Arabidopsis thaliana: one gene and its partners. The protein of the gene in region 3 interacts with the protein of the main gene of each other region in a pairwise test. Each region holds a gene or a part of one and is shown on either strand. Other genes may lie near its edges. The genes, in order: AT4G30660, COR413-PM1, AT5G03345 and AT1G64150.

The links.
Region 1: the proteins of AT5G03345 (region 3) and AT4G30660 interact in a protein complementation assay, tested with the Arabidopsis thaliana proteins (one large-scale study listed by BioGRID).
Region 2: the proteins of AT5G03345 (region 3) and COR413-PM1 interact in a protein complementation assay, tested with the Arabidopsis thaliana proteins (one large-scale study listed by BioGRID).
Region 4: the proteins of AT5G03345 (region 3) and AT1G64150 interact in a protein complementation assay, tested with the Arabidopsis thaliana proteins (one large-scale study listed by BioGRID).

The regions. Positions count from the first base shown.
Region 1 is NC_003075.7:14,952,195-14,959,035, reverse strand, and holds AT4G30660 (Low temperature and salt responsive protein family), read right to left. Parts: upstream 3,658-6,841; 5' UTR 3,567-3,657; coding exon 3,477-3,566; exon of another isoform or gene 3,227-3,476; coding exon 3,092-3,226; 3' UTR 3,036-3,091; exon of another isoform or gene 2,876-3,035; 3' UTR 2,865-2,875; downstream 1-2,864. Other genes in the region: AT4G30680 (Initiation factor eIF-4 gamma, MA3), read left to right, coding at 1-349; AT4G30670 (Putative membrane lipoprotein), read left to right, coding at 1,131-1,439; AT4G30662 (uncharacterized protein), read left to right, coding at 2,506-2,853; AT4G30650 (Low temperature and salt responsive protein family), read right to left, coding at 4,338-4,469, 4,544-4,633; AT4G30640 (RNI-like superfamily protein), read right to left, coding at 5,354-5,894, 6,002-6,366.
Region 2 is NC_003071.7:6,946,897-6,954,172, forward strand, and holds COR413-PM1 (cold regulated 413 plasma membrane 1), read left to right. Parts: upstream 1-2,954; 5' UTR 2,955-3,266; coding exon 3,267-3,436; intron 3,437-3,521; coding exon 3,522-3,629; intron 3,630-3,712; coding exon 3,713-3,783; intron 3,784-3,871; coding exon 3,872-4,116; 3' UTR 4,117-4,129; coding exon of another isoform or gene 4,130-4,164; 3' UTR 4,165-4,296; downstream 4,297-7,276. Other genes in the region: AT2G15960 (stress-induced protein), read left to right, coding at 457-690; AT2G15980 (Tetratricopeptide repeat (TPR)-like superfamily protein), read right to left, coding at 4,453-5,949.
Region 3 is NC_003076.8:810,092-817,505, forward strand, and holds AT5G03345 (membrane magnesium transporter-like protein), read left to right. Parts: upstream 1-3,993; 5' UTR 3,994-4,104; coding exon 4,105-4,181; intron 4,182-4,278; coding exon of another isoform or gene 4,279-4,282; coding exon 4,283-4,331; intron 4,332-4,432; coding exon 4,433-4,624; 3' UTR 4,625-5,216; intron 5,217-5,299; coding exon of another isoform or gene 5,300-5,387; 3' UTR 5,388-5,528; downstream 5,529-7,414. Other genes in the region: AtCDC48C (ATPase, AAA-type, CDC48 protein), read right to left, coding at 1-308, 415-2,117, 2,217-2,445, 2,705-2,867, 3,014-3,042; AT5G03350 (Legume lectin family protein), read right to left, coding at 5,713-6,537. UniProt on the Arabidopsis thaliana protein: Mediates Mg(2+) transport.
Region 4 is NC_003070.9:23,806,044-23,815,682, forward strand, and holds AT1G64150 (Uncharacterized protein family (UPF0016)), read right to left. Parts: upstream 6,683-9,639; 5' UTR 6,537-6,682; coding exon 6,367-6,536; intron 6,270-6,366; coding exon 6,185-6,269; intron 5,949-6,184; coding exon 5,721-5,948; intron 5,624-5,720; coding exon 5,570-5,623; intron 5,477-5,569; coding exon 5,415-5,476; intron 5,303-5,414; coding exon 5,234-5,302; intron 5,156-5,233; coding exon 5,104-5,155; intron 4,721-5,103; coding exon 4,649-4,720; intron 4,562-4,648; coding exon 4,432-4,561; intron 4,343-4,431; coding exon 4,272-4,342; intron 4,083-4,271; coding exon 4,035-4,082; intron 3,076-4,034; coding exon 3,004-3,075; 3' UTR 2,792-3,003; downstream 1-2,791. Other genes in the region: DIR5 (Disease resistance-responsive (dirigent-like protein) family protein), read left to right, coding at 8,020-8,568; CHX16 (cation/H+ exchanger 16), read right to left, coding at 9,196-9,639. UniProt on the Arabidopsis thaliana protein: Mn(2+)/H(+) exchanger, which transport Mn(2+)from the chloroplast stroma into the acidic thylakoid lumen. Might be a chloroplast-localized Ca(2+)/H(+) antiporter. Regulates Ca(2+), Mn(2+) and pH homeostasis. Required for chloroplast development.

The DNA of each region.
Region 1 (6,841 bases), on a different chromosome or scaffold from region 3:
CTTGGAGAAGAACCCTCCTTGTGTTGAACCAGTGGCGAAGCTCTTGGAACATCTGGTCTCTAAGAATGTTCTAACTCCTAAAGACTTAAGGAATGGTTGTCTGCTCTATGGGTCTATGCTCGATGACATTGGGATCGATCTGCCAAAAGCGCCAAACAACTTTGGGGAGATCCTTGGGAGTTTGGTTATGGCCAAAGCATCGGATTCTGAGTTGGTGAAAGAGATTCTAATGAAAATGGGAGACGAATGGTTCAAGAAAGCAGTCTTGGAAGCTGTGATGAGGAGTGTTAGTGAGTCTCTACTCACTACGGAAGCAGTAGAGGTTGAGGCTTGCCGTGGTTTGGTGTAGTTTGTGTGGTTTCTTTCTTCTCAATACATGTTTTGATCAGTTTAAGACCCCACGCTCGCCGGAAAAAACAGGTGAGATCTTTCTTGTAATCATTTATTGAAAAATGTTAAGAGTTAATATCATACTTGTAATCGAAATTAGATTCAGTTTTATTACTCTGTTTTCTTTTTCTTGGTTTGTGCTTTTTCTTTTGGTGCCTTAGTTCATTATTCATTTGGAAGAGTTCAAGATGAGGAAAAAGAAAAGAATATGTTGAATTGTACTCTTTATAGATAGTCTTGGAATGAAAAGTTTAATTTAAATAATCAAGTAGTTGTCAAATAATCATTATTATTATTATTGTATTTTATCATGTTGGTGGTTTACTTTAATGGGAACAGATGAGCATTTCAAAATAGATATTTAAAAAATATCACACTAATTTATACATTGAAAAATGACATTTAAGGATATTTCCCATTTTTCATACGTAGTCAATCATATAAAATTTGAGATTTTAATACGTTGACAGAGTCATATGATCCTGGATCGTGTCAAAATGTCTCTTGTGTAAGTAAGAAGTTTTCCAAAAGAAAAAACAGTTATGAGCTGTCTTGATGATTATATCACTGCCTAGTTGTTAATTAAGGAAGAGCTCATCTGTTTGGTTGCGTGCACGAAGAAGAGAGTATGGTACAACTACTTTCACACAAATCTATAAATACACAGACACACTCATAAGTTCAAAAAACACAAGATAAATATATTTTCTATTCAATTTTGTTTAAAGAATAAGAAAAAGATGAGAACTTCTTCTCTTCTTGGTTGGTTTTTGATCATCTCCCTCTTGTTACTTTCTCAATCCCTCATAATTTCATGCGGACGCCATACGATCACTCCTTTGGGTCGGGAACTAGTTGAACATGAAGAGAACAAGGAAGGGTCATCCGGTCATCACCACGACCATCTTCGAGTCTTCGTGAGGAAAAGCAAAAGCAAGAGCAAGAAGAAGAAGGACAAATCAGCAGCCACTCGAACCCTTCTCTCTAACCCATTTACCTATGTATCTACTGTTGTGAGTTCCTTTGTTTTATTGCTCGCCGCATTTTAATCCAAGATAACAGGTTGCGACTTTTTTATTTTATTTGTCAAATGGCTTGAATTTGCGTGTTTGTTTGAGTTTGTATTTCCGATCGAGTTTAACGATTTGTTTTCTTTTCCGGCAAAGATTGAGTTTGTAAGTCTTCAATGTTTGAAAAGTTGTCTGATCTGGTTTGTCTAATATTGTGGTTCCAGTTGTTTTGTTTAATGAATAATAACTGATTGTCTAAGACAATTTATCATTGACACACAACTACATGCGACTATTTTTGGAATTTTTTTGTTTGTTTGCTAAATTGTAAATATCATTAATATGAATAATCAGAACTTACACTTTGGTTAAACCTATACAATTGTGTACTTGGCCAAAAAAAAAAAAGAGTAAAAAACAAGAAAACAAACTTATGTGGGAAAATCTCGGGCCAGTTTATCGCAGCCATAAGATTTCAGAAGTGACCCCTTTGATTTTTTTGGCGGTGATAGTGTTCTTAATCTCACGATCAATTATTTTGAAGACTGAGTGGAGAGAGAATGCAGGTATAGTGAACATTGTTCCTTTGTTTATTCTTACCATTAACAACAACCTCTTTAAAACATCTACTACATGAATTCAATCAAATTCAGTTACAATTAGAACTAACTACTAGGCACCATTTCCCTTCGACCACTATTTGCCTTACGTTGGAAATTCACTAAATTCCATTTCACATAAGAAAACGATAAATAATAACATTTGGGTCTGTTACCCATTAGGCTTAATTAATCATGATCCTCCCTTACGTAATTAGATTTTGCCTCTCGGAAACTTTCTTTGTTGCTGGCAAAAGGAAAGTTTCTTTGCTAATAAGTAATAAGTATCCCAATAGTTAAATACAATAATAGTATTAAACATCATTTCAAAGAAGAAGTAGCCCATGTTTAAGCCATGGTCGTTTCGTTACCTAAGCCTAGCGATATTATAAATACTAATTCTTTTGCACACATAATGCGTCCCATCATTGTAAAATTAACACATATTTCTGATTTTTTTCGATCAGATACATGTATATACACACATATTATTTGATAAAACAGAAATGAGGACTTCACTGGCATTTTCTTGTTCATTGATTGTACTCCTATTGTTACTCTCTCAGCCTTTGCCAATTTCATCTGAAAATAAGGAGAGTGAACGAAGACTTGCACAACACGGTGACTCCAATCCGTTGGATCATCATGACTCTCTTCGAGTTTTCATGAGGAAAGCTCGTTTTGGTGGTGTTGGTGGTGGTAGTCGTGGTGGTGGTCGTAGCCACCGTCGTGTCCCCAGTAGTGGTCATGGTGCGGGTGGATCATCCGCTACTAGTCGACCTTGTCTCTCGATGGCATTGCGCTACGGTTCCACGGTCGCGAGCTCAATTCTGTTGATGTTCTTCGCCTTCTAATTAAACTCTTTTTTTTTTTAACCTTTCAATTTAATAATTTAATTTGTGCCTTGCGAAAACACTATGTCAACAACCTGATGCATAAGCACACATAGCAGGAGGGTTCATAAGCTGATAACAGAAGAAACTTTCAATATTGCATATAAATGACACACAAACGTTTTCAAATCTCTGAAAACAACTGCAAAGCAACTTTATTGGTACAAGTCAAAGCAACACAGTTCCAAAGAAACAGAAATCAAGCAGAGTAGATGGGGCGTCTGTATTCATCAAAGTACTCTTCACGGTGCTGAAACACAATCACGTAAATCGCATATATTATCCCCGGGACATAGCCTAAGATCGTCAACACCAGGCATATCAAAAACTCCACCTGCCAAAACAAACCACACATAAAAAAAATTCAACTTTCTTCAAATGATTATCCAAGCTTTCAGGAATCAATGAATCAAACATAAATTGATCCAATCCAGAGAATTTCTGCGATTCATATCATAGATTAAGCACTCCCTTCATTACTCATACCAAATTACATTATAATCAATCCAAAATTACAGTCTCTATAAGAAGTTCCAGGATTCTTCAAAATTGAGGAATTCGAAAGAGAGAGAGAGAGAACTTACAGTGCAGCATCCTTTCCTGAAGCAAACTCCGAGAGGAGGAAGAAGGATCGCGATAATGATCTCGCACAGAATCTCACAGTTGCTCGGCATTTTTTCAGAGAGATGAGATGAGAGAAGAAGAAGCTTTAAGAGTTTTTTTAAAAGACAAAACACTGAAACTTGCTGTCACAGAGTTGAGAGTACCAATGAAGAGAGATCAGTCCACGTTTTATTTTGTTTCCACTACAAAGTCAATGTGCGAGATCTGCACCGTTCATTTATTGATATTTAAATCGTACGGCTTTAGATTACATCTCGTGAATCACAACGAACGATATGGTGCACCCTTATCACATCAGATCACTTTTAGATATTTTAGTCTCTGACTCATCCATGTGACTAAATGGGCCTGGGAAGGCCTGTCTATTTTATTAATCCCGGGACCAGACTGGAATTGGACAGAAACGTTTTGACTCAAACGGTGTCGTATTACTGAGACTTTGATTCCTCAACTCACAATCATTGTCATTATTTGCCAAAGTAACAGAAATCTATCTTTTTTAGCATAATCTATACCATAATATATGTTGGCATCATACAAAATCCTTTCAAACTCAAAAATGCTTCCGCATTTTGCGAAGTTTAAACTCCGGTAAATACAATCTTGGCAAAGAATTTGATACATTAACTCTTAGGAAGGTCCGTAGCCTGACTTTGCAAAAGCCAACAAGTTATACATCAAAAAGATAAGCAATGTATCAATAACGCGACAATGTTCTCAAATCTTCAATACATAAAAATTGCAAAGCAACTTATTATTTGGTACATGATAAGTAAAACAGTTTCAACAACATATTGATCCGTGTAATGGACCAAAACAGATCAAGCTGAGTTAAGTGGAGCTCCAAGTTCGGTAGAGCCTTCACGGTTTTGAAACACGATCACGTATAGTGCATAAATTATCCCTGGGATGTATCCTAAGATTGTCAGCACCAAGCAAATCAAGAACTCTACCTGCAAAAAAACTAAGAGTCAGATTTTCTAAACTAAATCTCAAGATTCATGATTCCAAAATTCCAATAACTTACAGTGCAACAGCCACGTTTGAGACAAACTCCAAGAGGTGGAAGAAGGATCGCGATTAAGATCTCGCAGAAAACTTCCATGTTGCTCGCCATTTTTTCAGAGATGTGAGTGAAGAAGATTCTTGAATGTGATCTGAATTAGTGGAGAAGAAGAGAACACTGAAAGTAGTCGGTAGCACAGAGATCCAATTAAAAGAGCAATCCACGGCTTTTTATTTTTGGCGCTACCAAGTCAACTACGAGATCTGCACCGTTTATTTGTTTGGTATATAAATCGTACGGCTTCAGCTTACATGCCGACATCTCGTAAAATTACCTTACCTTGCCCCCACTCTTTAGATATTTTCATCTCAAGAACACGCAAGGTATGGTGCAACACAACACACCTGATCATTGTGGGATATTATTACTCTGACTCGCCCCCTTATCGTACGGTTAATGGATCACGTGACTAAGTTGGCCTAGAAGGCCTGTCTTCTATTGTTTCCGGGACCGGACTTTGATTAGCCCAATTTTTCTGTTGCTTGCTTAGATGGCAAGCTATCTCAGTACATTTACTTAACCCATTTCCCTCAATGTTTATTTCACTTAACACTATGATTCAGACCTAAAGCAATGAAGAATATTAATAGAACACACCAAAAGTTGGGAATTTAGTGACAAGACAAACTCACAAAGAAAAAGGGTTTCACATTGTTTTAGGAATTCAAACATAGATAAGAACAGAGTAAAAAATGCCATAGAGGAAGCTCTGAGCATAAAAACCGGTCAACAAGTTGATCAAAACGTGCGTCCAACAAAAACCAAACACCATCATTCCTCTCTTGGATTACCAGGTCTTGGAACGCGTAAAACAGCAATCGGAGGATTGAAATCCGGCTTAATGATCTCCGTCAAATTCTTCAAGCCCGACGTATTAGTGTTTATATCACTTCTGGTCAATGATATACATCCGCGTAAGTCCATGTACTCTAGATTCGAACATCCCTTACAAACCGAGTCAAGTCCTCTAGCAGTCAATGTGGAGTATCGAATCTCCAAATGCTTGAGCTGTGTCATGTATTTCCCAATTATTCTAGCCTCTATATTCCCATATCTAGGAAATGTAGCCAGATAGTCTAGTGGCGCGACGATTGTTGGCAGGCTAGGACCTAGCCGGGGCAACAAATTCCGTTTCAGAATCTTTAAATTTTGGCAACTCCTCCCCAATGTTATCAGAGACTCGTGAGTTATGCCATAAGAGTAGCTTATATCAAGTTCTCTAAGATTTGGACAGTTCATAGCTATCTTCTCCATTGACGCATCTGTAACATTTGGGCAGTTCTTTATCCAAAGTACCTCTAGATTAGGGCACCTGCAAATGGAAACCACATGACATTTTATTCATTCTATCAAAACTCTGCGATTAACCTCTATGGACTCAAGCTAAAACTGAGAATTATCACGAAAAGTGATACGTACCTCTCGGCGGCGTAAGATAGAGAGCGTTCTGTACAATGCCTGATCCGAATCTCTGTGAGACCTCCTTCACTCCGATCAACAACAGATCGGAGAAATGAATCGACTTTATCCTCAAACTCGGGAGTCCACCAGTTGATCGACTCAGGGAACGACAGAAACCGAGTTTCGAGGTCGAAGATGGTGTTTAGTGTCGGGTCATAGCATGCGTTCATCCAGTTCTTGCTGACCAGCATCGGTCCAATCCATCTTTGTTCCTGGCTTAGCCGTGAGAAGATGTCAAGAAGACATTCTCGAGTCAACTCAGACCAGTCAGGGTAGAGTCCCGATCCCATCTCCACCTTTCCTTCCCCGCCGTTGACTTCCATAGGATTGAAGAACGCTTCGTCGTTTTGAGTACGAATAGACTTGAAATGTTGAGACTTTTTTTTATCGTCAATGGAATAAATGTAGTCAATGGAAACAAAAATGCTGAGACTTTTTCAGCTTCTATAATCAAGCATGCTCTTTACCTATTACAAAACAGAGCTTTTTTTTATTGGTCATTAGTAACCTTTCCAATTTTGATATCCAGTTTATATTAATGTTCTGTCAGTTTGAAGTTGGAGCAAAACGGTTCTGCTCCTCGACTTTGATTAAGAGAATGAGTAAGAACATCCAACAACAAATGAGATTCCCTAATTACCAAATTGGATTAAAAGGATAATGTAGTCACTTATGACAAGAGTTATTATTCAAAGGTTTTCCTATGTTGGACATATGGAAGTAATGACTTTCTAAGTCATCAAATCAAATCTTATATCTATATACTTGTATAAGCATATGTGCATATTGGGACGACAA
Region 2 (7,276 bases), on a different chromosome or scaffold from region 3:
CACTAAATATATTTATACTATATCATAAAGTATTTGAAAACGTGGAATTTTTTATTTATTTGAACACGTGGAAAATTCAAGAAGGTGAAAGAGATATTTTTTGGTTTCAATGATTTGAAACTGTATGTGCATATGGAAAATTCAAGAAGGCCAAAGAGATATTTTTTGGATTTTGATGATTTTTCCAGCCATTAGAATTTAGAAACTATGTACATATATATATACCAAAAAGACAACTCTTCTATAGTTGGACCGTGGACGGTGCCAAAGTGTAAAACAGATTGTCCACTTTCGTGTCAATAACACAATTATTTGAAAACACCAATCAAACTTGTCATGGTTTTGCAAGTCCAAAAGACCAAAAGGCCCTATTCTTTGTCTACATAAAGCTCACATGCATCTCTCTCTCTCTCTCTCTCGTTCATAATGAGATATTAAGATCAACAAAAGGAAAGAATGGCAAAAGCTATGGAGCTTTGGGTGGGAGAGATGAAGAAGATGAGTGAGAAGATAAACACTAGAAATCCATTGATGCAAAGGAAGAATTCAACATCTGTTGTGTCCAAACAACAACAAGGATCAGAAGAAGAAAGAGGACTTATTAACCAAAAGATTAGAGAGAAAAATGAAGCTGTAACTATGTCTGAGCTCACTGTTTGTCTTCTCATGGACCGTTTTGTTCCTTGGTGATCTTTCCATACCCAACTACTTCTAGATCTCTTCTTTGGTGATGTGTATATATATATCTAGAAACTACATGTAGTATGTCTATATATCAGATTTTGTTTGTGCAGACCATGTTTTTAAGTTTCCTTGTAAACCTGTGAAAGTAATGTGTTTGAGAAACATATTTTTATTACTTTAATCAATAGTGTTCAATTATTATTAACCGGGATTTATATGAAGATGGAACTTTCTATTCACTCTGTAATTAGGAACATTCGCATCATTCAGTAAGAAATAAAACAAGAAATGATTATAATTTTTCTAATAACGTAGGAATTCTGAGGGAACCCAAAACTAAAATTTGATTGAAAGATTTTGAAGTGGCCAATCATGAATGAGATTGCTGGAAGATATCATCAATATTCAATACAGATAACGATTTTTTTTTTTTTTTATTGATACCAAATGAGCTTTCGGCTTTTGGCCCAGACGGAAACAACGGTTACAAAAGGTTTGGGCTTTGGGCTTTGGGCTTTTGATCCACATGACGATCATATAGTTCTTTCCTTCAACACAAAACACTTGAAGTGTATCTTATCAACTAAACTCTATTCCAGCAAAATTATTTCAAAATTAGATATATGGGAGAATTTTTACAGGCCATTCTAGATTTTCATTAACGCTGTGATTTATCCGTTAATAAGTACGATTAAGAGTAAAACGACGTCGTTTGCAATTGAAACAAAAATCCCCAATTCAGAAATAAGAAACCCTAGATCCTCAAATCTCTTCTTCTTTTCTTCTTCGAATTCACTCCTGTATTTTGAAATCAAAGTGAATTGCAAGGCACAAAGTTCATGCTTTAAAGCACTGCAAATGGCGAAGTCATGATTTATATGGCATTTTTCCTGTTTTTGTTTCAATTGCAAACGACGTCGTTTTGCTCTTAAACGGTCTCATTAACGGATAAATCACATCTTCTAATTGCTCTGTTTATTCAGTTGATGTTGTGACTAATTTGGCTCTGTCAACGAAAGTTAGTGATTTTATCTGAAGTCAACACGTAATTGATGATTTTAATCACAAAGTACAAAGTTTATGTTTAAAGCACCACAAATTGCGAAGTCGTGATTTAAATGACATTTTTCCCGTTCTGGTTAAACTAAGTTTCTATTATTTAATATGGATATTGTGGAGCGTAGTGTCAGCACTCAGCAGCTTATTTAACGTGATACTCTTTAACCGAGTAACAACTAGTGAGGTCATATTCAGGACCGATCCAACAATATTGAGGGTTTTACTCCAAGTAAAATTTTAGTTTTATTTTTAATTATCATAAACGACATAAATATAATATGGAAAGATCACAAATACTGATTAAAAACTAAAATCATCAAAACGAAAAAGAAAAAAGAAAAAATTGGGTTCAACTCTCATGAGTTATTAAACATTTTAGGTTTTAGGCTTAAATCTTTAAAAAAAATCAGAACTGAAAAACGAAAAATTCTAATTTTATTTTGGACTCTGATTCATAGCTTATGTCGCTTATGTAGTTATGCTAGGGATGAATCTGTATTTCGTTACCGTAATGAGAGTTCGATACTCTCTTACTTGTTACGATTCTGGAGCATGTTACATTTTTTTCTTTCCGTCAACAACAACTTTAATATGGTAAAACAAAATTTATTTTTATTTGGCTGGTCCTACTCAAGACAAATCTTCTGCCGACATCACATAATCATATTAAAAACCATAACTTCTGCCACTCTGTTTTTTTTTTTTTTTGTAACCATTAACTGATTGGATTTTGATCCATCTCATCTGATTTTTTAGCTCAACAATTTACTTGCACATTTTCTATTTGGTTTTATTTATACTTAGTTACATATATGATTATCGAACTAGTATCTCTTTATAATTAAGTATTTTTCTATTTTTTTTTAATTTAGATTTTTGTGAATTCATTTACAGTAGAAAACTGTAAAACCATATGGTCTAATTATAGAATGAAAACTTCAACGAATCCATACAACTTATTGGCTAAATATAATAAATCTGCTTGAAGCATATTGTTATTATTTAGTTGGATTTGACGATCTCTGACTTTAATGTATACCGACATACCCTATGATTTAGATGTTGATTTTTCCCATTCTTAATATATCCATGTTAAGAGATTCCACCATAACATATCTAATTATTTGCATTGTAATAAATATTATCATTAAAAAAAAATACAACTGGACAGCTGGCTCGTCCCATTGTTTCTTACGTCCACCAATTACATTTGTTAAAGCAAACTTATTAGAACGTTCATGTGTGAGAAGTTGGTGTCGACATGTGTCTAAGGTCTATGTCAGAAATCGGATTAGCTTATTAAGTAAACTATACTATATCATTGTTAATATAGATAAAATATCTAGTTCGTCCAAATTAAACTATTTTCATAACTGCCACGTGGCGTAAACGTATCCATCGAGTCACTTGTAATATCTTTATAACCAAAGTCTTCCAACACATTCATCACCATCTATCTACTCTTTACTCTCTTCTCTTCTCACATCAATTATTCATAGTTCTCTCTTCTCCGGCAAGAAAAGATGCCTATGAAGTCGTTGAGGAATGACCATGGAACCCTTAAGGCCATGATCGGATCCGATTTCAACGAGCTCACTATCGCTGCTAAGAACCTAGCTACACACGCCTTCACACTCACTGGTTTAGGCTTTGGTACCTCTGTCCTCGAATGGGTTGCTTCAATCGCCGCCATGTAACCATTCTCTCTGTTTCTATGTCTCTTTCCTCTATCCGTTTCTTGTGTTGATCTTGATGAGGTTTTGATGTAATAAATGCAGATACTTGTTGGTGTTGGATCGAACCAATTGGAAGACGAATATGCTCACATCACTTCTCATTCCTTACATCTTCTTCAGTCTTCCTTCCTTGATCTTTGGTATTTTCAGGTATAACACAACAAAAGCCAGAGACTTTTTCTTTACTTATCATTATGTTCCTAAACCCTAACTTGTGTCTGAAACTTTGACAGAGGAGAAATTGGTAAATGGATTGCTTTCGTAGCTGTTGTTGTACAACTCTTCTTTCCTAAACACGCCAGAGGTTTGTCTACTTTTTTTCATTCACTCTCCATTACAAGCAACAAGACTTTGATTCTGATTTGGCTTATCTCTGTTGTTTGTGTTATTAGAATACCTGGAATTACCGGTGGCTTTGGTTCTTCTCGCCGTGGTGGCACCAAATTTGATTGCTGGCACATTCAGAGACAGTTGGATTGGTTTAGCTATATGTTTAGGTATTGGATGTTACTTGCTTCAAGAACACATTAGAGCTTCAGGTGGATTCAGAAATGCATTTACTAAAGCCAATGGTATCTCCAACACCGTCGGGATCATCTGTCTCGTCGTCTTCCCCGTCTGGGCTCTTATCTTTTAAGTTAACTCTTCAGTTTCTTTTTCCATTTGTCTTTTTTTTTTCATGTAAGAGTGATTGCTTTGTACGATCTGTCTCTCCTCGTAACTCTATCAATGAATGTGATTTGAATAAGAATTGCTTCAGCAATAAGATATCATCATGAGGTGTTAGTGTGGAATAAATCTCCTCTTTCATCATTATAGCTTTAATGGGTAACGTTGTATCATCTTACAATGTGTACCACTTCTTACCGCTTTCTCGTACCACCACAAAACTTGTCCACATTGTGTCACCAATTGGTTTCTATGTGGTTTTGTCATCTTTGCTTCACCAGCTTACCAACGAAGCTCAACTTTTCTAGCTTTCTTCTTCTGCTCTTAGCTTGAGTGATTCAGCCATTTCTATGGCCAACAATGCTGATGTTTCCTCATCACCTACTATTCCATACCCGTCGATAAAAGCTCTATACGTCTCTTGACTCGGCTTAAATCCTTTCCCAACCATCTCAGCCTGAATGTTCAATGCTCTATCCATCTTCCCATCTTCACACAACCTCTTTACCAACAACTCATAACAATTCCGACTAGGATAAAACATTGCTTCTCTCACCGCATCCTTCACGATATCCGCAGCTTCAACAACTCTCTGTCCATCCCTATCATCACATAGCCCTTCAACTAACGCTTCAATTGTTAAACCATCTGCCTCAAAACCTTTCCTTTTCATCTCCCTATAAACAACCAAACCCGAATCAACATCCCCCGCTTTACAATACCCGTTAACAAGATGCTCATACGTCAAACAAGTACACTCAATCCCCTTCAACCCCATATCTCGAAAAAGCTCCTTCGCTTTCACAACTTCAAAGTTACTACAAAGCCCACCAATCATAGTGTTATAAGCCACAATATCATAAACCACTCCTCTCACCTTCATCTCTTCCCATACCTTCTCCGCTTCACTCATCAAACCTCGCGCACAATACGCCTCCATCAAAACATTATAGCTATAAACATTCGGAGAACATCCAACTTCCTCCTCCATTTCTCTCCATATCCTCTCCACCATCTCAGTCTCACCTTCTCTATAAAAACTCACCATCATCGAATTAAAAGTGGTCGCATTTGGCTTAATCTTACCTATCATCTTTTTAGCTTCATCAACACTAACATCATCTAAACCAAAAACTTCTCTATACATCTTATATCCATTAGAAGCACCTCTACGCCTAGAAACCTCTGTGATCAAAGCATTACAAGTACTAATCTGTGCATTGATTCCTCTAGACCTTAACTTTCTCATAACCATCACAGCTCCATCAATCTCTTTCGAATCAAGACAAGATTTTATCAACAAATCGAATACAAACGGAGCAGAGCCACATCGATTATAACTCTTAATCAACGAACGGAACACTTTCAAGACTCTGTCTTCGTCTTCGTCGGTGGCGGCGAGACGGAGAGCGAGACGTATGATTTCACTAGCGTGGCTTTTGAGACGAGATCGAGAGAGGATGTGGATGAGAGTTGAGCAGGAGTGTGTGTCGTGAGAGCAGAGAGAGTAACGGCGAGTGAAGAGGAAGAAACGGAGAGAGAGGTGAGGATTGTTGCGGAGGCAGAGAGTGATTTCGGAGAATTGAGAAGGTGTGAAGCCTGAAGGCTGGAGTGATCGGAGAGTGGACCAACGGGATTTGGAGCGGTGGTGTGTTAGGATTGAGACGGCGTCGGAAATTAGAGGATCTGATGGCGGAGACGGCGGAGAAGAGACGGTAGTGAGGAGAGAGATTGAGAGGATTGCATCGGGTTTGGGTTTCCGGGTCGGGTCGAGTATCCGTCTTAGTATTGAAGTTGACATTTTAAAAGTTTCTTTTACTTTCGAGTTGAACTCTCACAGTTTTATACTCTGGTTTGGAGAAAAACTGGGTAAAAAAATCTGACAAAACAGCCGATTCCTGCATAAACTTAGCTAACTATGAACTGAAAGAAACATATACGTGGGGTTATTGGCCCAAAGACATATATATGGTTCTCTTATGCAACTCCCGAGTACTCTCTTTCTTTGCATGGTTGATACATGATCGGATAGTATCAGAATTTTTCACATTGTTTGGGATTAAGATTTTTAAGTATTATATAAACGATGTCACAATTCTTAACTCTTGAGCTAGCTTTTGGGTTAAGTTAGGCCACATTTCTAATAGATAGACAATGTTTTTTGTTATAATGTTGAAGAGAGAAAAAATCACCTCTTCTTCTCTTTTTGATACTCATCGTAAATATGGCTTTTCTTACGCATAAATTTTGTGGGATTGACTTCCACACCAATTAGAATTAGGTTCTCTCTTCTCTACATAACTTAACTCTTACCTCCGATTAAACTCTTCCTCCTAAGGTATGTCTTCCAATCGACGATTTACCGCATTTGGAGGGAAAGAAACGCAAGGCGACATGGGGAAATAAAATCAACTCACAACCGGCTACTCAAGCTCATCGACAAGAACATAGAAATCGACTCAACTCAATACGTGAAACAATGGACAGAAACTACGACTACGGACGGATGGAGTGGCTCACCCTCAGCTCCATTCCGTAAGGCAGTCATCAAGTTTTTTTTATCACTTCAAGATTCTTTCAAAAATATAATTCAAAAACAGATGCATTCATTGTAAAAACATTTTTTGGTTTAATACAATTTTACATTCAATTTTTTAAAAAATAAAAATCTCACCTTTCTTAAAAATATTTTTTAAATTTTAACTTTTTCTTTATAGGTTTTTAAACCTTCGTATTTTAGTAAAAGGTAAATATTTAATAAACTTAGGCCATCTACATCGTTGATTCTCAAAAAGAGTTTCTCATGAATAAAATTTTATTTATTTTAATCAAATTCAGATAAAGTATTAAATTTTAATTAAAAAATAAAATCAACAATTCCTGAAAAAACACAGAGACGATTCTCACTTCTCTCTCCTCTTTTTCACTGCTTTATATTATTTTAATAATAAATATCTCTTCTAGATACTGCTGATGAAGGTGCTTATCAGATTAGATACCGGTTTAGCTGGTTAACTTAAATCAATTGTATAGCTATAGTATAAATACATGTACATTACACATTATGTGATTGAATGAGAAAATCAGATTAATATCCTCAACAAACTCTCTCTGATCTTCTTCTTCGT
Region 3 (7,414 bases):
TAACTGTAGAGATCGTCGTCATCAGCTGCAGCTGCAGAAGTGGCAAAGGGATCGGCGGCTGCAACACCAGTGGTGCGTCCGACACCAGCGGTTGAGTCAAACCTGAACTCAGATCCAAACCCTCTGGATTGCTGCAGCGTCTGAGCAAAAGCTTGGTACTTGCGAATATCAGCATCACTCACACTTCTCCTTGCATATTTCATCGACTCTTCGAAATGAGCAGCTCTAATCTCTGAAACTTCATCATCCACCATATCTTCCTCCATGGCCTCTGGATTCTGGCTCCTTCTACGCTCGTTCTCAATATCCTGAGGAACAAAACACACAAAAAAGGGTCAAGATTAGAACAATTAAAACGAATTGGCACTTAAGGTTCCTTAATCACATGTTTCAGGAGGTAATCAAATCACTGACCTTTTCGATGTTTTCTCTGATGGCGTACTTGCAAGCTCTCTGGCAGATCTCGGTGATATCAGCACCACTGAATCCCTGAGTGTACTTTGCGAGTGCAGTAACATCTACATCTTTAGCGACGGGAGATTTTCTCAAGCAGGCCTTAAAGATATTGAGACGGGAATCTTCATCAGGTAGAGGAATGTAGATAAGCTGGTCGAGTCTTCCAGGTCGAAGAAGAGCTGAATCTATGATATCCGGTCTGTTAGTTGCTCCAATAATGAATACCGTCTTCTTTGCATTCATTCCATCCATTTCTGTCAAAAGCTGATTCAACACTCTGTCAGCTGCACCGCCGGCATCACCCGCGCTGTTCCCTCTCTGAGTAGCAATGGAGTCTAGCTCATCGAAAAACAGAACACAAGGAGCAGATTGACGAGCCTTGTCAAAGATTTCTCGGACGTTGGCTTCACTTTCTCCAAACCACATTGTGAGAAGCTCGGGTCCCTTGACACTGATGAAGTTTGCTTGGCACTCGTTTGCTATAGCTTTGGCTAACAGGGTTTTACCACATCCAGGAGGACCGTAGAAAAGAACTCCCTTTGATGGAGACATACCAAACTTCTCGAATTTCTCTGGATGCTCCACAGGGTATTGAACAGTCTCCTGAAGCTCTCTCTTAACATTCTCGAGACCTCCAATATCCTCCCAGGAGACATTTGGAACCTCCACAACAGTTTCACGAAGGGCGGATGGGTTGCTGTTTCCAAGAGCAGTGTGGAAGTGTTCATTAGACACAGCCATGGAATTGAGGATTTCGGCGTCAATTGAGTCATCTTCCAAGTCAATCACATCCATCTTCTCTCTGATACATTGAAGGGCAGCTTCAGTGCATAGAGCTGCAAGATCAGCTCCAACATATCCATGCGTGTCCTTGGAGATTCTTTCTAGATCAACATCTTCAGCTAGCTTCATGTTCTTCGTGTGGATCCTAAGAACTTCAAGACGTCCAATTTCATCAGGAACACCGATATCAATTTCCCTGTCGAATCTTCCAAACCTTCTCAAAGCCGGATCAATACTGTTGGGACGATTTGTTGCTCCCATAACAATAACATGGGCACGTGATTTTAGTCCATCCATAAGCGTAAGGAGCTGAGAGACAATCCTCCTCTCAACCTCACCATTCGTCTTCTCTCTTTTTGGTGCAATAGAGTCAATCTCATCAATGAATATGATAGACGGGGCATTCTTCTCAGCCTCCTCAAATGCTTTCCTGAGGTTGCTCTCACTCTCACCAGCTAGTTTCGACATGATTTCCGGTCCATTGATACAGAAGAAGAATGCTCCGGTTTCATTAGCCACAGCACGAGCAATAAGAGTCTTCCCGGATCCAGGAGGTCCGTAAAGCAGAATTCCCTTTGGTGGCTTCACACCAATTGATTTAAAGAGTTGTGGATGCCTCAAGGGAAGTTCAACCAATTCCCTAATCTGAGCCATCTGTTTCCTGACACCACCAACATCGTCATAACCAACCTCATCAAGCCTTTCTTCGTCCTCCCTCTTAACTGGTTCACCCTCACAGAAAATCTCTGTATCTGGAGCCACCACACAGTACTCAGCAGGATCAGTCTCGATCACTTTGAACTCCACACTCCTCATTCCTCCTCTCACTAGGAAAAGATCTCCCTTCCTCACTGGACGGTACGCCTCCAGAAAGTAAGCTGGTGAAAAAAACAATATAAGTTTAGAAAACACGAACTCCAAAAGACAAGCTAGACTATGATATGAAAGAGAGAATCAAAAGATTAAAGCAAACTTACGTTTCAGGTAAGCATCAAAGAGGTTTCCAGTAACGCCTTCAACTGTATCATCAACAGGCAAGATGTGAACACGCTTTCCATACTTGACATCTGGGCATTGGTGAACAGAAATAACATCTCCCAGCCTAACCCTCAAGTTAGACCTTACAACCTTATTCATTCTGATCTTGGGTTCCTCACATGTTTCATCAGCGAGGGCAATGCATACAGTGTCCTTCCTCTTCTTACCCTGAAAATCCAAAACCCCAATCAAGTAAGTAATCACAGAGATAAAAAGAACAATCCAAACCAATTCTAAACTCAAAAAAAAAAACTTCAGACAAAAAAGTTGTACCCTAACTGAATATGTTTACAAGATCAGACAAAGTAAAAAACATAACTGAATATGTTTACAACATGCTCGTGATATACAGTCAAGACACAGACGATCCAAACCAAGTCTAAACTCAAAACACCCTAACATAGTGACATAAGGAACAAAACCTAACCTTGATGAGAATTGTATCGCCTCGGAAAAGCTGGAGTTTTTCCATGGTAGTAGGATGGAGAGAGACAACAGAGTTGTCATCGTTAATAGCTTCATCGACAACAAGTCGGTTTGGAGACTTCTTCCTCTCTAGAATCGCAGTACTGAAATCCTTCTTAGTTTTCCTGAAACAAATACCCCAGGAAGACAAACAAAATCAGCTTTCAGATGAGATCAAACTAAAAAACCCTATTCTCAATATCGAAAAACCCAAGTAAAAAAATCGAAACTTTATGATCGGAAAACAAAAATCAAAGATCTAAGTACTTACGAGTCGGAGGATTCCGGTTCGTTTGACATAATGATAGCTTAAACTGACAAGAGAGCTCTAAGAAGGAAGTTGGGAAATTTGTTTCTAGAGAGATCGATTGGTGATGATGATGATGATGATGAATGGGATCTCAAGGGAGCTGAACTCGGGATTTTATACGCTCTGTGATTTCCTTCTTGTTGGAAAAATAAGCGACCCTTAACTTTTAAGTTTATCTTGAAAAGTTCCAAAAACTAGGTGTTGTGATAAATACACCCATGTTCCCTTAACATCATATCAATTAATTTATATTATTATATGATTTATCGAGAATCAAAACAAAAATCTACCTATATGAAGAATTAAAAAATTTGATGTAATTTTAAACTTATTTTAATAGTGTGGCGAGGGTACGTAAATGTTTATTAAAAACGTTATGGGGGAAAGTTGAAAATAAAAGTAAAAGAGAGGTGAGGATAACAGTTTTACTTTCTGGTTTTAGCAAACACAAGAAAGGAATAGAAGGTTCTTAGGTAGCGGTACCAAAGCAAGCTACATGTTTTTCTTACTTTTTTATAAATAGAAATTTAATATCTTACCATTTGATTTCTTTGTTCTAAAATAGATTTCCGTTTTTTTTATACGAAGTTATCAACATACGATTCAATTCAATAATTGCAGAAATTTTTGTTTGCATATGAATATATCATCAATATGAAATTCTAAATAAATATTCATAATTATTTATTATACGAAAAAATAATTATTTTCCCAAAAGATAAACCCTTATTGTTGTAAAAAAGTTATCAAACTAACTGAACTTTCATCTAATTAAAAATATTAGTTACTTAAAAAAAAGTTTGGGTTACAAAAGATTAATAGGAATCTAGGATATCATCAATCTAGAACTACGCGCCGTTGTTAGTCTCTTCGATATTAGACGTTGCGCCGTTTTCACTTTGAGATTTGCGATATTATAACTACATGCCGTTTTAAACTCCACTGATCGTCTTCTATTCTAGTTCGATTCTCGACGGAGAATACTCGACGAGAAAATCCAGATCGGGAATCAACTTAGAGAAGAAGAAAATTAAAAAAGAGAACTTCTAAAGATGAATTTGGGGTTCTTAGTTGGAGTTTTCGGCGTTCTTATTCTTTCTCATGCCGCTTATTCAACAATCCAATGTATGTCTACTCTTCCCAATCCAATTCCAGTTCCAATTGAGTCAGATCTACTTTAATTTTCGAGATAGGATCTTGATTTGGGTTTCTCTTGTTTATTTCAGATAGAGGATTGTTGAAGATTATGGAGGAAGAGTTTTCTCGACCACCGATTAATGTGAGTATATAATGATAACGGTTTCTCTTTTCCTCAATTGTGTTTGAATTATATCAGCAATGATTATGCTTTTATATGAATCATGATTGGATTTATTTAAGGTTATTCTGGAGTTGATCATTGGACTAGCTCTGTGTATGTGGGCTGCTTTGACTTTCCCTGGTAAATTTCTCTCGATCCATCCGGATTCTGATGAAAACAGGTTTGTGATCATGTTTCTCTCGAACTCTCTGTTTTGCATCAGTGTTAATCAATCTGAATTCATGTTATCTAGTGAGTGTTTTTACTATTGAATTTTTCTCTGTTCGTACTTTGTTGAACTTGGTGTAGAGTTACTACGGGTCTTATAGAAGCATCTTCTGGCTAGATTTGGTTCAATTATTCAGTTTAATCATGGGTGTTTCTAGTGAATATGTTTTCTTTTGACTGAGAAGGTTTACGGATGTGTTGTTAATCAATTGATTCAAAGAACTTGTGCTCTAGAGATGTTTCGAGGGTCTAGTTTTGATGTCTCTTTAACTCTCTGTTGTGCATCAGTGTTTATCAATCTGAAACATGGAAATTTGGTAGTTATTATATTTCCCGATGATTGAATGACCACCAAAGACTCATGTTTATTGATAAGAAACTGTCGTCTAGAGATGTTCTAGGTCAAACATTGATGTTTCTTTAATACTTTGTGCAGCTAAGGTTTTCTAAAATGCAGGACATTCAAAGGGACATTTTCTAGTTTATATTTGGTCCAGTTACGATTATGGGTTTCAAGAGCTTTAACCAGTTCTGCTCCTGGCTAATTCAATCAGTTTATATTTGTTTCATTGGCTCTTTAGACCCACTTTGGTTCCTTCTATGTCGCAGCCTCTCCCCTACCTTTTTGTACATTAGGTTCTTGAATTGGTTTTGAGTTTGGCTTTTGCTAGATAAAGTGAATATCTCCTGTTAACTGGTTTCTTTCAAAAAATTTGCAGGGCGGTGTTTTTACCAGATAATTCGGATTTCATGATATTCAATCACCGTGGCAGACTGTTCCCACCGCAGATCGACATGAAGTTTTGAATTTTTATCACACTGCTTAGTCAAACACTGATCTGTGTAATGTTATGAGATGTTTCCATTGAAATTCTACTCTAAGTAACTACTCTGCTTTGCATCAATTTTTGATTCTTGAAACGAGTCTTGTGATGTTTCTGTGTGTCAGGTCTCTACTTAGAATCTTTTAGAATGAAGAATCAACATAACAACAAGTGCACAGGTCCTAGCAGGATAGGATACTGTGTAAATAGTCAAATACAAACAATTAAAACAACAAAATTTGCTATTTTATTCATTCCGGTTACAACTTTCTGATACATTAGAAAAAGCATAACCGAACAGAACCGGTTTAGATTCTCTTGGCACTGTTCTGGAAGGTCCAACTCCAAATGTCATGACGTTCAACGCCACGGCCCATGGCACCAGAAAAACCGGGGTACATATTTTGAAGAAAAACCTTAGAGAGATCTAAATGGGCAACGATCAAAGGCTTCTTAGGTTTCTTAACGGTTTCTGGCGCGAGAGTAACTGTAACCTTGGAGTTTCTATACTCAATCCAAGCCTTGTACCTCTCTCCATTACTCAGCTTGAACTCTTTAAACGACCAGTGTTTCATTTTCCCAATTCCTGTCTGAACCCAATAACCAGCTTTCTCAGCAACAACGGAAGTAACAGAGTTGATATTAATCCCGACATGGTTATCATTAATGTCTCCAAAACCTTTGTCCTGAAAAACGTCGAATTCGACAGCAAAGATGTGGTTTTTGGGGTTGCCATTGTTGGTTTTGTTGAATATCCCGAGGTATCCAGCGGGTCCAGGACCGTCACTTTCAATGGAAGGGACGACAACAAAAGCAAGGCCGTGACCAGGGGCGGGTTTGATGCGAGTAGAGATGGAGAAAGTGAAAGAAGTTTCAAATGGATAAGGAGAAGAAGAGTTTGAAGAAGGCTTGAAAGGGACTGGAGTGGACCAAAGACTTTGGCCGTGAGAGAATGGGTTCTCGTCTCGTGTCATGGAGAGAGCTCCGGAGCGGCTGACGCCATCAGAAGCAGGACCGAGCTCAGCGTCTCCAAGGAAGACCAACTCTGAGGTTTTGAGGTTGAGGTTGAGGTTGACGGCGGAAGTGGTGTGAGCTAAGAGCAGAGCAAGAAAACAGAGTTTATGAATCTTCATTGCGTTTTCGTAACTGCTGTTTACTCAAGTGAGAGTTTGAAAGAGTGAAATTATTAACGTGGTGATTTATAAAGAGTAAAACATAAGCCCATGTACATGACGTCATATTGTATGATGTCAAGTAAACGCATCACCTACAAGATTTCCTTATCCTTTCCATAAATTGAACTCGACCAATAAAAAACGTGATTGTTAATAATGGAAAGAAAAAAAAATTAAAACAAAATCATCGAATGGTCACATCAGCACATGACATTTTGTCAAGTAAACGCGTGAAGACACTGTTGTGAATACACTCATTCAGCAGAGTATGTGTACAGTGTACGCATATCTCGTATATTAGATTGTACTTGTCTTTTGCGATGTGAAAGCATAGTATACGGTATCATTATGTGGATGAATGAATAGAAAACACTACGTCAAAAGGATAAGGAAAATCTAGTGGGTTCTTTAATTCTTTACCCACCACATAGACAACACTACGTCGTATAGAAATTTACTTAGAGAGTATTGAAGAGGAACATAGACAACCTTGTGTTTCTTCGGTGTAATTGGTCTAGAAAAGGACCAATGCAATGCAAAGATCGATTGCTGTTTATTTTTCTACGAGAGATATTTTCAAAGAAAATTCACTCAGGAAAAAGTAATTTGCTTTGCATCCCAAATTCTCATCAGTTTATCACACATATGAAATGTTCAACAATCTTACCATTGATTTCTTAGTAAATCGATCTCTGATTTTTCGTTTGAACGATTTTTAAATAGTAATCGTAATATTGTAGTTTAACCCAAAAATACTTGCACAATTGGTTAAAAAGTTCAAATTTTTTAGAGAGATCAAAGGTTCATATTTTCTCAACAAATAAATATTGTGAAC
Region 4 (9,639 bases), on a different chromosome or scaffold from region 3:
ACACCAAAAGCAAAGACGCGAAGCCAAGAGGACAACAACAACTTCCGGGTTAAGAGAATAAAGCCACAGCTCTAATAAGAGTTAGAAGACCTTATAAGCATCTCCACCGCCGCTTACAAATCCTGAGGTGTCACACCGATCCATCTTCAAATAAAAGTTCAAATCAAATCTAACAGAGCTGATTCGAAAGTTGCTCACAAACCAAAATTAGTTCTTCTCAATCTTCACGCAAGGATTACGGTAGCAGCTAACCATCCTGCTTCATATAACAGATAATAAACAAGTGAGTGGCAGTAAACCGCAATAGAGCAGTGAAAAATTCAATTGGGTTACCAAATCTACAGAACACAGATCATTTAACACCTCAAATCTACAGAACACTTAACATCTCCAGAACACACATAGTTTAGGACAAACACCATAAACCAAGATTAAAAAGCACAACCTTTTTATTCGTTAGTCAACCACAACATGAAACAAAACAAGAGATCTAAAAAAACAGATTGAGAAATGAAGAATTTTTTGTCAAAGAGATACACCACAAATGATGGATTATTCACTAGCTTCATCGATATGATTCCATGAGAAGCTTAGAATAAAAGAGAGAGAAATCAAAACAAAAGAGACCAAACCAGAGTACTTCAAATCAAAAACTTGAGTCTTTCTAGATTAAACCGACACAAAATTTCAGAAATAAATGAAACAGAACAAGGAAAGAAAGCAACGAGAATAACAGAATTATTCAATTTCCCAGACATCGATCTCAGAGACATATTTTTTTTGTCTCGAATTAAAAAGAAGTCAAATTTCTCTGAATTTCTCATCAAAAACAAACATGCAAATTCAACTGAAGAAAAACAAAAACGAAGAATGAATTTACCTCAATTTTGAATCTGATTACGAGATTTTCACGGCATCGATTGATAAAATCAAATCGCGATTCTCAATCTCTCTCTCTCTCTATCAATAAGCGAAATTGAGTACTTGGGGCTCTACAAATGTTTTGGGTGTGATTGAAAAACCTAGGGATTTGCAGCGCCGGCGAGAGAGATCGAGAGAGGTATAAATAGGAGAGGAGAGAGAGAGGCTTTTTTTTTTGAAGGGAGTGGAAATGATATCGAATCTGAAAGGAGAGGTGAGGAGGATAAAAAAACCAAGGGTAAGACGACTGGTTTGCCACACGTGCCATCAGAATCTTTTGCACGTGCCACTTATACCCTTTTAATATTTTTTTTATGTTTTTGTATTGACTGACTATTGATCATAAGTATAAGCTACAAACACATTAATCAATTCATTAAACAGAGAACACATAAATTCATTTTTACGCACCAGCTAAATTTAATCAAAAATAAAATGAAGTATTTGACTGCCAAACATGATATGTCCTCCACTTCCTGATAATCAAATTTATCCTACCATAAATTTATATTAAGTTTGATTAATGGTATTTTTTTATCAATAACATTGTACTCTGTTATGCAGATTTGAGTACAGATAATGATATTAATATTAAGAGTTTAATTAGGATACGTATGGTTTAAACGAAGCCAAGATTGTTTGTGGCGGTTGGAAGCATCAGCAGCAAAGAAAAAACGAAGGGGTAATTTGGTGCGTGGCGGCTGAAGCAGCAGCGGCTCGTCACCGTTCAATTTGGTTTTGTGATTATGACTGTGGTCCCCACATGCGTCTTTTATGGGTCCCGCACGATTCCCCTCGGGAAGGTCTTCTACAAATCTACGACAGCGTAATTTTTTGCGATTTTTGTTTTTAATTTTTCAAAAATATATAAACCGACGTCGTTTCTTGGTTTTTTTTTGGCTATCGCTGTCCTTAGTAGGAAACCTAAAAAGGGTCCACGTACGATAAAAGAGTGGTTCACGTTTGCAAATGCAGCAATTTCGTTAGATTTTGTTTTTACTTTTTCTAGGTCAATTGTATTATTTAGATTCTCTAATTCCTTTTTTAGATTTCTATTTACTTCAAAACTACTAGTAGTATTCAATTTCGTAAAAGTACGTTAAATACCATTTATATGTCAGGTAAATAATCGCTTTGCGTAATTCAACATGCAGGTGAAATTTCCCCCAACTTTAAAATCAAATCACTAAATATTGAGTTAAAGGTGTATATTGTAGAACAAATTAATATTTTTGAAGATAACTGCTGAAGTTTATGTCACTGTGATATACTATTATTTATCAAGAACAAAAAAATGCTCCAATATTATATAGGTGTAGTCATTGTGTAGAAAAGGTATTATTAAGCAAGATATTTCGGTCAATTAATTTTAAAAAATTTGTGTCTTCAGAAACTTTGAAATATGCCTTTTCAAAACCAATGATTTTTAAAGTTATTTTTACAATATATCCAAACTACTATTTATGTAGGTGCATCAGTGCATGCTTATTTTGCACAATATATAGCTTTACTTCTGTAATCCTTTTTAAAAAAGAAAAATCACCTTGGCCCTTGCTTAATATTGAAACTAAAACCATTTAAAAAAAAAATACCAAAACAATTTACACCTTACTATAAAAGAAAGGAGATGGTATTATCTTCCTATTTCTCATGTCGGTGTAACAACTCCTTTGGCCTTTGTGAGTGGAACTCATAAATTTATAACTTTTTCATATAATTTTAATTCACATGCACGATTATAGTATTTAAATACACATTTGTACATGAAGAATATAGAAAAGAATATGCTCTACCATGTTCAACCTCTTTTTAGTCTTTATATTCTTTCCAGTCCCGAACACGTGTTATGTTTGGACGCATCTTTCAAAACATAACATATTACCTATCTTGACATCTAAGTAAATTCTAACCACTAAAAACCAAATGTGGTAGTAAACGTTAACGTATGAGAACTGTAAAATCCACATTATAATTTGCAGAAAAACAGTTGAAAATAAACAATATACTAATATTTTACAAAAATAAAATTAAACTTGAATATGTTTGTACAAGAAGGTATAGAAAAAATATATTTTTCGGTACTTACGTAACGATCTCAGCCACCGTCACAGCAGCAAACACGAGAAACAGAACTCCTCCGACATAAGCAATTGCCTGTTTCGAACCAAACGACATGTAAACATTTCCGTCTTTAGAACACACTCTCTCTCCCAAAATTGTTTTTTAAATAGTCTAAACTTTAGATCAAAACAATAAAAAAAATGGTCTTAAATCTTTATAAATTAAATTGTAAGCCTACTATCAAGTCATAAAAGCTAAAATCTAAGCCTTAAACCATAAAACATAAATCATGAACCTTAAAACCTAAAGAAAATTATAGTATATACTTGTGATTTAATTTTTATTTCCGCGGCTAGTTTCATTAGTTTGGGAATAATAACGCGTTGTTGACAGATTGGATCGGACATAGGAAAGAATAAAAACAATAAAAGATGTTATTTTGACTCTTTTTTGGGGAGGAATAGATACCAAGTGATGTGGAAGACTTGAGATCAATGAACATAGAAGCTTGTTTTTGCCACTTGCCCAAAGAATAAAAACCTTAATCTCTCACTTTTCTTTCTATCATGTTAAATCTCAGAACACAATACGAGATTAAAAATTATATCCTTTGACTAACTAAAACAAAACTCAAAAAGGTGGTTTGGAACTTTTAAAACCATGATTAAAGCTAGTAATTTGCCATTAGTATCTCGTTTTTGTGTAATAAAAGCTGAATATATCCTAGGATATGCTGGCATTTAGTATATTCACCCTAAATTTTCATGATAATCTAAGGACATGGATTTGTTTCATATTTCATTAATTGTTTTCTACTTTTTTAATGCAACCATTAAAGTTTTATTCTTCTTAACCTTTTACTTGGTCAGGATGCAGGTTAAGACATGTAACAAAAATCTAAACCTGACACTATAAATGAAAAAGGAGTATTCTTCAAGTGCTTTTGTGAAATAATGATTTTCTAAAATTGATTTGATCTATATAAAGTATAAACATGTATATACTGTCTATGTGTATGTATATAGAGATAGATAAAGAACGGAATTAGTTACCTTCTCTGATAAGAAATTTCCTAGCAAAGAACCGCCCAATACTGCAAGCTGCGATTAACAAACCAAGCTGCAAGTTAGAGTTCTTGTGTCTTCCAAGTTTCAGGAGAATTGAAAAAATCTTTTCTTTGATGGGGTTTTAAGTCTTAATAGTACTTAAAGATACTTTTGACTAGCCCAAATAGCTAGGATCTTTAAAGTGTTCACATAGAAGTTTCAATCAAAAGATAAAGAACTCACAAGAGTCGCAGCACCGTGACCCGCCAACGCTCCAGCGATGACACCCAATGGTGATGATGCAGCCGCAAGAGCTTCAAAGAATTAGAAGATTATATACACTTTTGGAGTTTTGGACCTGAGGTTTTGATTTATCATGAAATTTGAACTTTTTGAGTCTCACCAATTGTTGAGAAGAAGGATTTGTCACCCCATTCCGCAACAAAAACCAATGCGAAAGTGCTGATGATGGTGTTCGCGGCTGCTACTATCCCGGCTCCATTACCTGAAAGCTCTGAAACCGCTAGTTCTGCCTGTAGATAATAAGTAAATAAATATTGACTTCTTGAAGGTTGCATGGAAATATACAAAGAGTGAACGAAAGGCTAAAGAGGTTTTACTTCTTTCTGTTCTTCGTCAGCTTTACCCTCGTCTGAAACAGCATCTAATAACGTTGAAACACCGAAGTACACCTAAATGTAACAAAAGTGGTTAATACTGTTTCATGGTTAAGACTATGCTCTGTACAATATGATCCAACCCAAAATGAACCATAAACCAGGCTTGAAAACCAATCAACATCTTCATTGTTAGACCAGTAACTTTTTCTACATAAAAATCCAAACCCAATAGAGCCTGAAACTTATAAACTTCATGACAATTTTAAGACCCTTCGAATCGAAAACTGAACCAAAACCAAAACAAAACTCATAACAAAAGGGTTACAGCTACATTTGGTTTCACTTGGTAGACATCATATACTTAGGAAGATATACTTGCTAGACATAAGAAAGGTCCAAACCAAGCACCCGTGGTTAGTACGACTCTGCTAAGAAAGGTGAATAAAGAGATTTACCAGAAGACAAACTGCTGCAATATCATCTATAGGCAAATCGGTTCCACCAAACCTGTGTTCTCAAGCATTGACGTTCAGCATCATCATGGAACTTAAACCTGCTTAATAATTTTTGCCAGAATACTCAAACCTGAATGGAAGAACTTCATCGACATAGTGGAAAGTGCGTCCAAGCACTACAGATATTATCGTCATTATCCTGCAAAATTACCAAGTTTTATAACGTTGCTCTACAGATTTCAAAGTAACATTTGGTTTCAGACAAGATTCACGGACCATAATAACGCCTCTGTTTGAGAAAGAAAGCATACCCTAGAGCGCCAAAAGTCCCCACGAATACGGTAGCAGCAGAGTTCCTTGCTGCTAAAAGGGCCTAACCAACAAACATGAAAACTTATCACAATCAACAGAATCATTGATGACAAAGAGAGTTTCTAAAGCGTAGATTAACATCTCAAGATCATACCGCAATGAAGAAAGTCTTGTCTCCAAGTTCAGAGAAAAAGATAAGCAAGAAAGCCTACACAGACATAGACAGAGCAAAAAATAAAATTTAAGAGTACTGGAATTGAAGAAGAGATAGTTCCCGGTTCTGTGCAAAAGGAAGATTCTCTAACCGAAGCAAAACCTGAGCTAATATCTCCAAGGTCTCCAAAAGAAGTGACAAGTGACTGTGTCACATTGGGAATTGACGAAGCTGCAAAAGCTGGATCAGTGCCTAGTAATGCAACCGAACCTGATACCGCCAAGAACATAAGAACTCTCTGAATCTCTCTTCTTGAGTGAGCTATCGATGACTCAACCAGAACATCAAGATTTCTATCATGCTCTTCAGACTCAGCTTTCTGAACAAAGCAAACACAACAACTTATTCAGCTTATGCATTTAAACACATTCTCTCCACTATTGTTCAACCTTAAAATCAATCATCATTATAATAAACCTACATTACCATTTTAGGTAAATCCACACAGAACAAGCAATTCAGAAATCTCCTCTAGGCCTTAACAGAATCTCATCTAAAAAAATTCAAAAATCTACCAAAAGAAGATTGGTGGAAGGTAACAAAAATCAGAATCACCTCGAGGTAACAAGCCGCATCGTTTCGTTGGAAGCATCGAAAACCTAGCTGCTGAGATTCATTTCGACGCAATTGAGTCAAACATCTGCACAGAATTGTGAAAAGACGTAAACTCCTACATGGCTACATTCCATTCGCATAGCAAATTCAAAAGCCGATGAACAATCAATTATCAAATTTACCTAGAAAAGTATTGATTACGAACCGAAAACCCGATCGGAATTGGATAAGCGGAGACGCATCTCCTCGACGATGAGGAAGGAGAAGAAGAAGTAGAAGAAAAATCGGATTTGGGAGGCCTAGGGTTCTGGAATGGAATGCGAAGCGACTCCGAGAGATTCAAACTTAGCATTTCTTTCCTGAGGATTTTGTATTTCGCTTCTTCTTCTTCTTCACAGTGTGATTCTTCTTTACTGCGAGCAAAAAACCTTTGGCTCTGTGTTGTTCTGAGAAGATAGTGAAAAAAATCCACAAAACTAGAGTTATTCGCGCGCGTCCACGTAGTAACAGCGCACGTGTGGGAAAAACTCAAGCAACTGTTGAATACACGTGACGAGTTTCGAGCCTATATATCATATTGGGCCAACAATAGGCCCGTTTTCGTTAAAATGCCTTCGCAGATAAGGCTTTTTAGGACAAACTATTTTAGTATTTTTCTTTTCCTTCGTTTGTTATCATCTTCACAGTTTGTCAACATTCAACAATTTGTCTTTTTGTTTACTATTGTTCTGCTTTTCTTTTGTTTCACGATATTATTTTTTAAAATGTGAATAGTTATGTCACATTTGAAATTCTGCAACTTGATTTGCTTTATTGGCTGCCGAATGCCAATGTTCTATTAAGTCGGCGAAAGCTTAGCTTAATTAAAAAAAAATTGATGATAAAACGGTTACTTTTACAAATGGACTAGATTATCATTAAGAAAAAAACATGTTTGGTATGCAAATTATATTAGCCATAGGGTACTTAACAAACTAAAATTAAAATTTTCAACGTGACTTTTACCAATAAAATAGATGACTCTACTTTTAGTTATAGAAAAAAATGATATGATTTATATATAATAAAATAAAATAAAATCTATAACGATACTTTTTAGCATCATGCTAATGGTCAGTGGCAGTTTGACATAAATTCATGTAAAATTATAAGTTATTGGAAAAACTCCTCATGCTCTTTAGTTTTTATTATTAGTGCTCCACCAACCCATCATTAAAAGGCCAAATTACATATATTAGTAGTTCTGAAAGACTATACATATATATATTATTAATGTCCTAAATTTAGACGAACAAGTAGATTATTCATTGATTCAATATATATGATTTAAAGCCATGAATTGCATATTTAACCGATTTAATATCTCTTCTGCTTTTGAATTTGTGCTGTTTTAGATATTATTGATGAATTCGTGCAACTCCAGCTTAAGGTATGTACAAGCTTTAAGCTTATGTAGTCTTAAATCAAATATGTATTATATATACTAATTTGTTTTAGTACTTCATTCGTGTTATTTTTAACGATTTCTCCACTACTATAACATTTTGTGGAAAGTTTTGAAAGGTGATTGAGCCGCCTACATGGAAAACTTTCAGATATTCATGGTAAATGATCTCACTTTATACACATCAACAAAACTTATCACCAACCTAATATAAATAAATATATAAACAAGAAACAAGAGAGAAGAAGTGAGCTAGTCCACTTTGTTTATACTTAATATTAACACGGACTAGTAACCCAAGTTGTATATAAACCCATCACTCCTTCTTTGTCAATCTCACTCTCTCATTATCCACTCTCACATTTTCATTTAAAACACACATATTTTCAATATGGTAGGCCAAATGAAATCGTTTCTCTTCTTATTCGTTTTCCTTGTTCTAACAAAAACCGTCATATCAGCTAGAAAACCATCCAAATCGCAACCAAAACCGTGCAAAAACTTTGTCCTCTACTACCACGACATAATGTTCGGTGTCGACGACGTGCAAAACGCGACTTCTGCAGCAGTTACCAACCCACCGGGCCTCGGGAATTTCAAATTCGGGAAACTCGTTATCTTCGACGATCCTATGACCATAGACAAAAACTTTCAGTCCGAACCTGTGGCAAGAGCTCAAGGGTTCTATTTCTACGACATGAAGAATGACTACAATGCATGGTTCGCGTACACACTTGTGTTCAACTCGACTCAACACAAAGGGACGTTGAACATAATGGGAGCAGATCTCATGATGGTGCAGAGTAGAGATTTGTCTGTTGTCGGAGGGACAGGTGATTTTTTCATGTCTCGAGGGATTGTTACGTTTGAGACCGATACCTTTGAAGGTGCTAAGTATTTTAGGGTCAAGATGGATATCAAACTCTATGAATGTTACTAAAAGAGACCATTAAATGGTTCCAGAGACAGAGAGAAAGAGAAAGAGGCTGAGTCCTTTGAAACTTTTTGATAATTTAATAAGTTTAAAAGGTGTGTAACAATCTTATATTGGAATTTTATGTTTTCTGTTCGATATGTGGTTTGATAATTATGTAGTATATGATTTGTTATGTCATGTGTTGTTTGACAAACCAAACACAGTGTTATACAATATCAGATTTTGATTACTACTGAAATTTCAATCTAGCTTTATAATGGACACATGCATGGGATGATAGTAAATTGAGTAGGAAAAAATATTTCTACAACACCACTAGTCAATATAATTGTAGTATCTAAAATTACTATATGAAGTATTCCTTTGAAAAAAGGATCGACTTACCAAAATATAAATATCTTTGGTCAAAATTTTGAACTCTTAACAACTTGAATAATCTATCCATCAAATCATATGTTTTAAGGATATGATATAATCAGTGACTCAAATTCATAAATATGTTTTATCTTACAAATTCATAAAAAGGGGAGTCGTTTGATTCATGCATGTTGATACATAAGAGTGTTTCGTGTTATCCATCATGGTTTGTGCTTCAAGGTAAAGAAAACACAATCCTCTGTTTCCAGATTTTCATGGCGTCTCCACCACCGGGACAGAGACGGAACCCACCACAGAAGGACCTTTCCCGGTGTATTGTTGAACCACCAAAACAGACACTGAAGTAGAAATCTCATTTGACACGATCAAGTTTCCGACCGGTCCCAGTTCTGGACACTCTATCTTCATAACCGGTAATCTTGAAACCATAGGTCCTTTGGAAGATTTTCCCACCAATAAAATATCGCACTCGTAAAATTGGCGGATAATCTCAACCACTTCCTCCGTTGAATTCACCGTCCTCTCTTCAAATCTAGCTGCATTGGCCCTTTTCTTGATTGCTGCAAGGAATTGCTCGTCTAAGGAACATAGTGATGTTTCTTGCGCTTCAAGCCTATCAAACCTTGCGCTCTCCGGACCAGAGATAACCACAACGGTCAAGTTAACGCCCGGATGTTCAGCCATTCGTAACCCGTA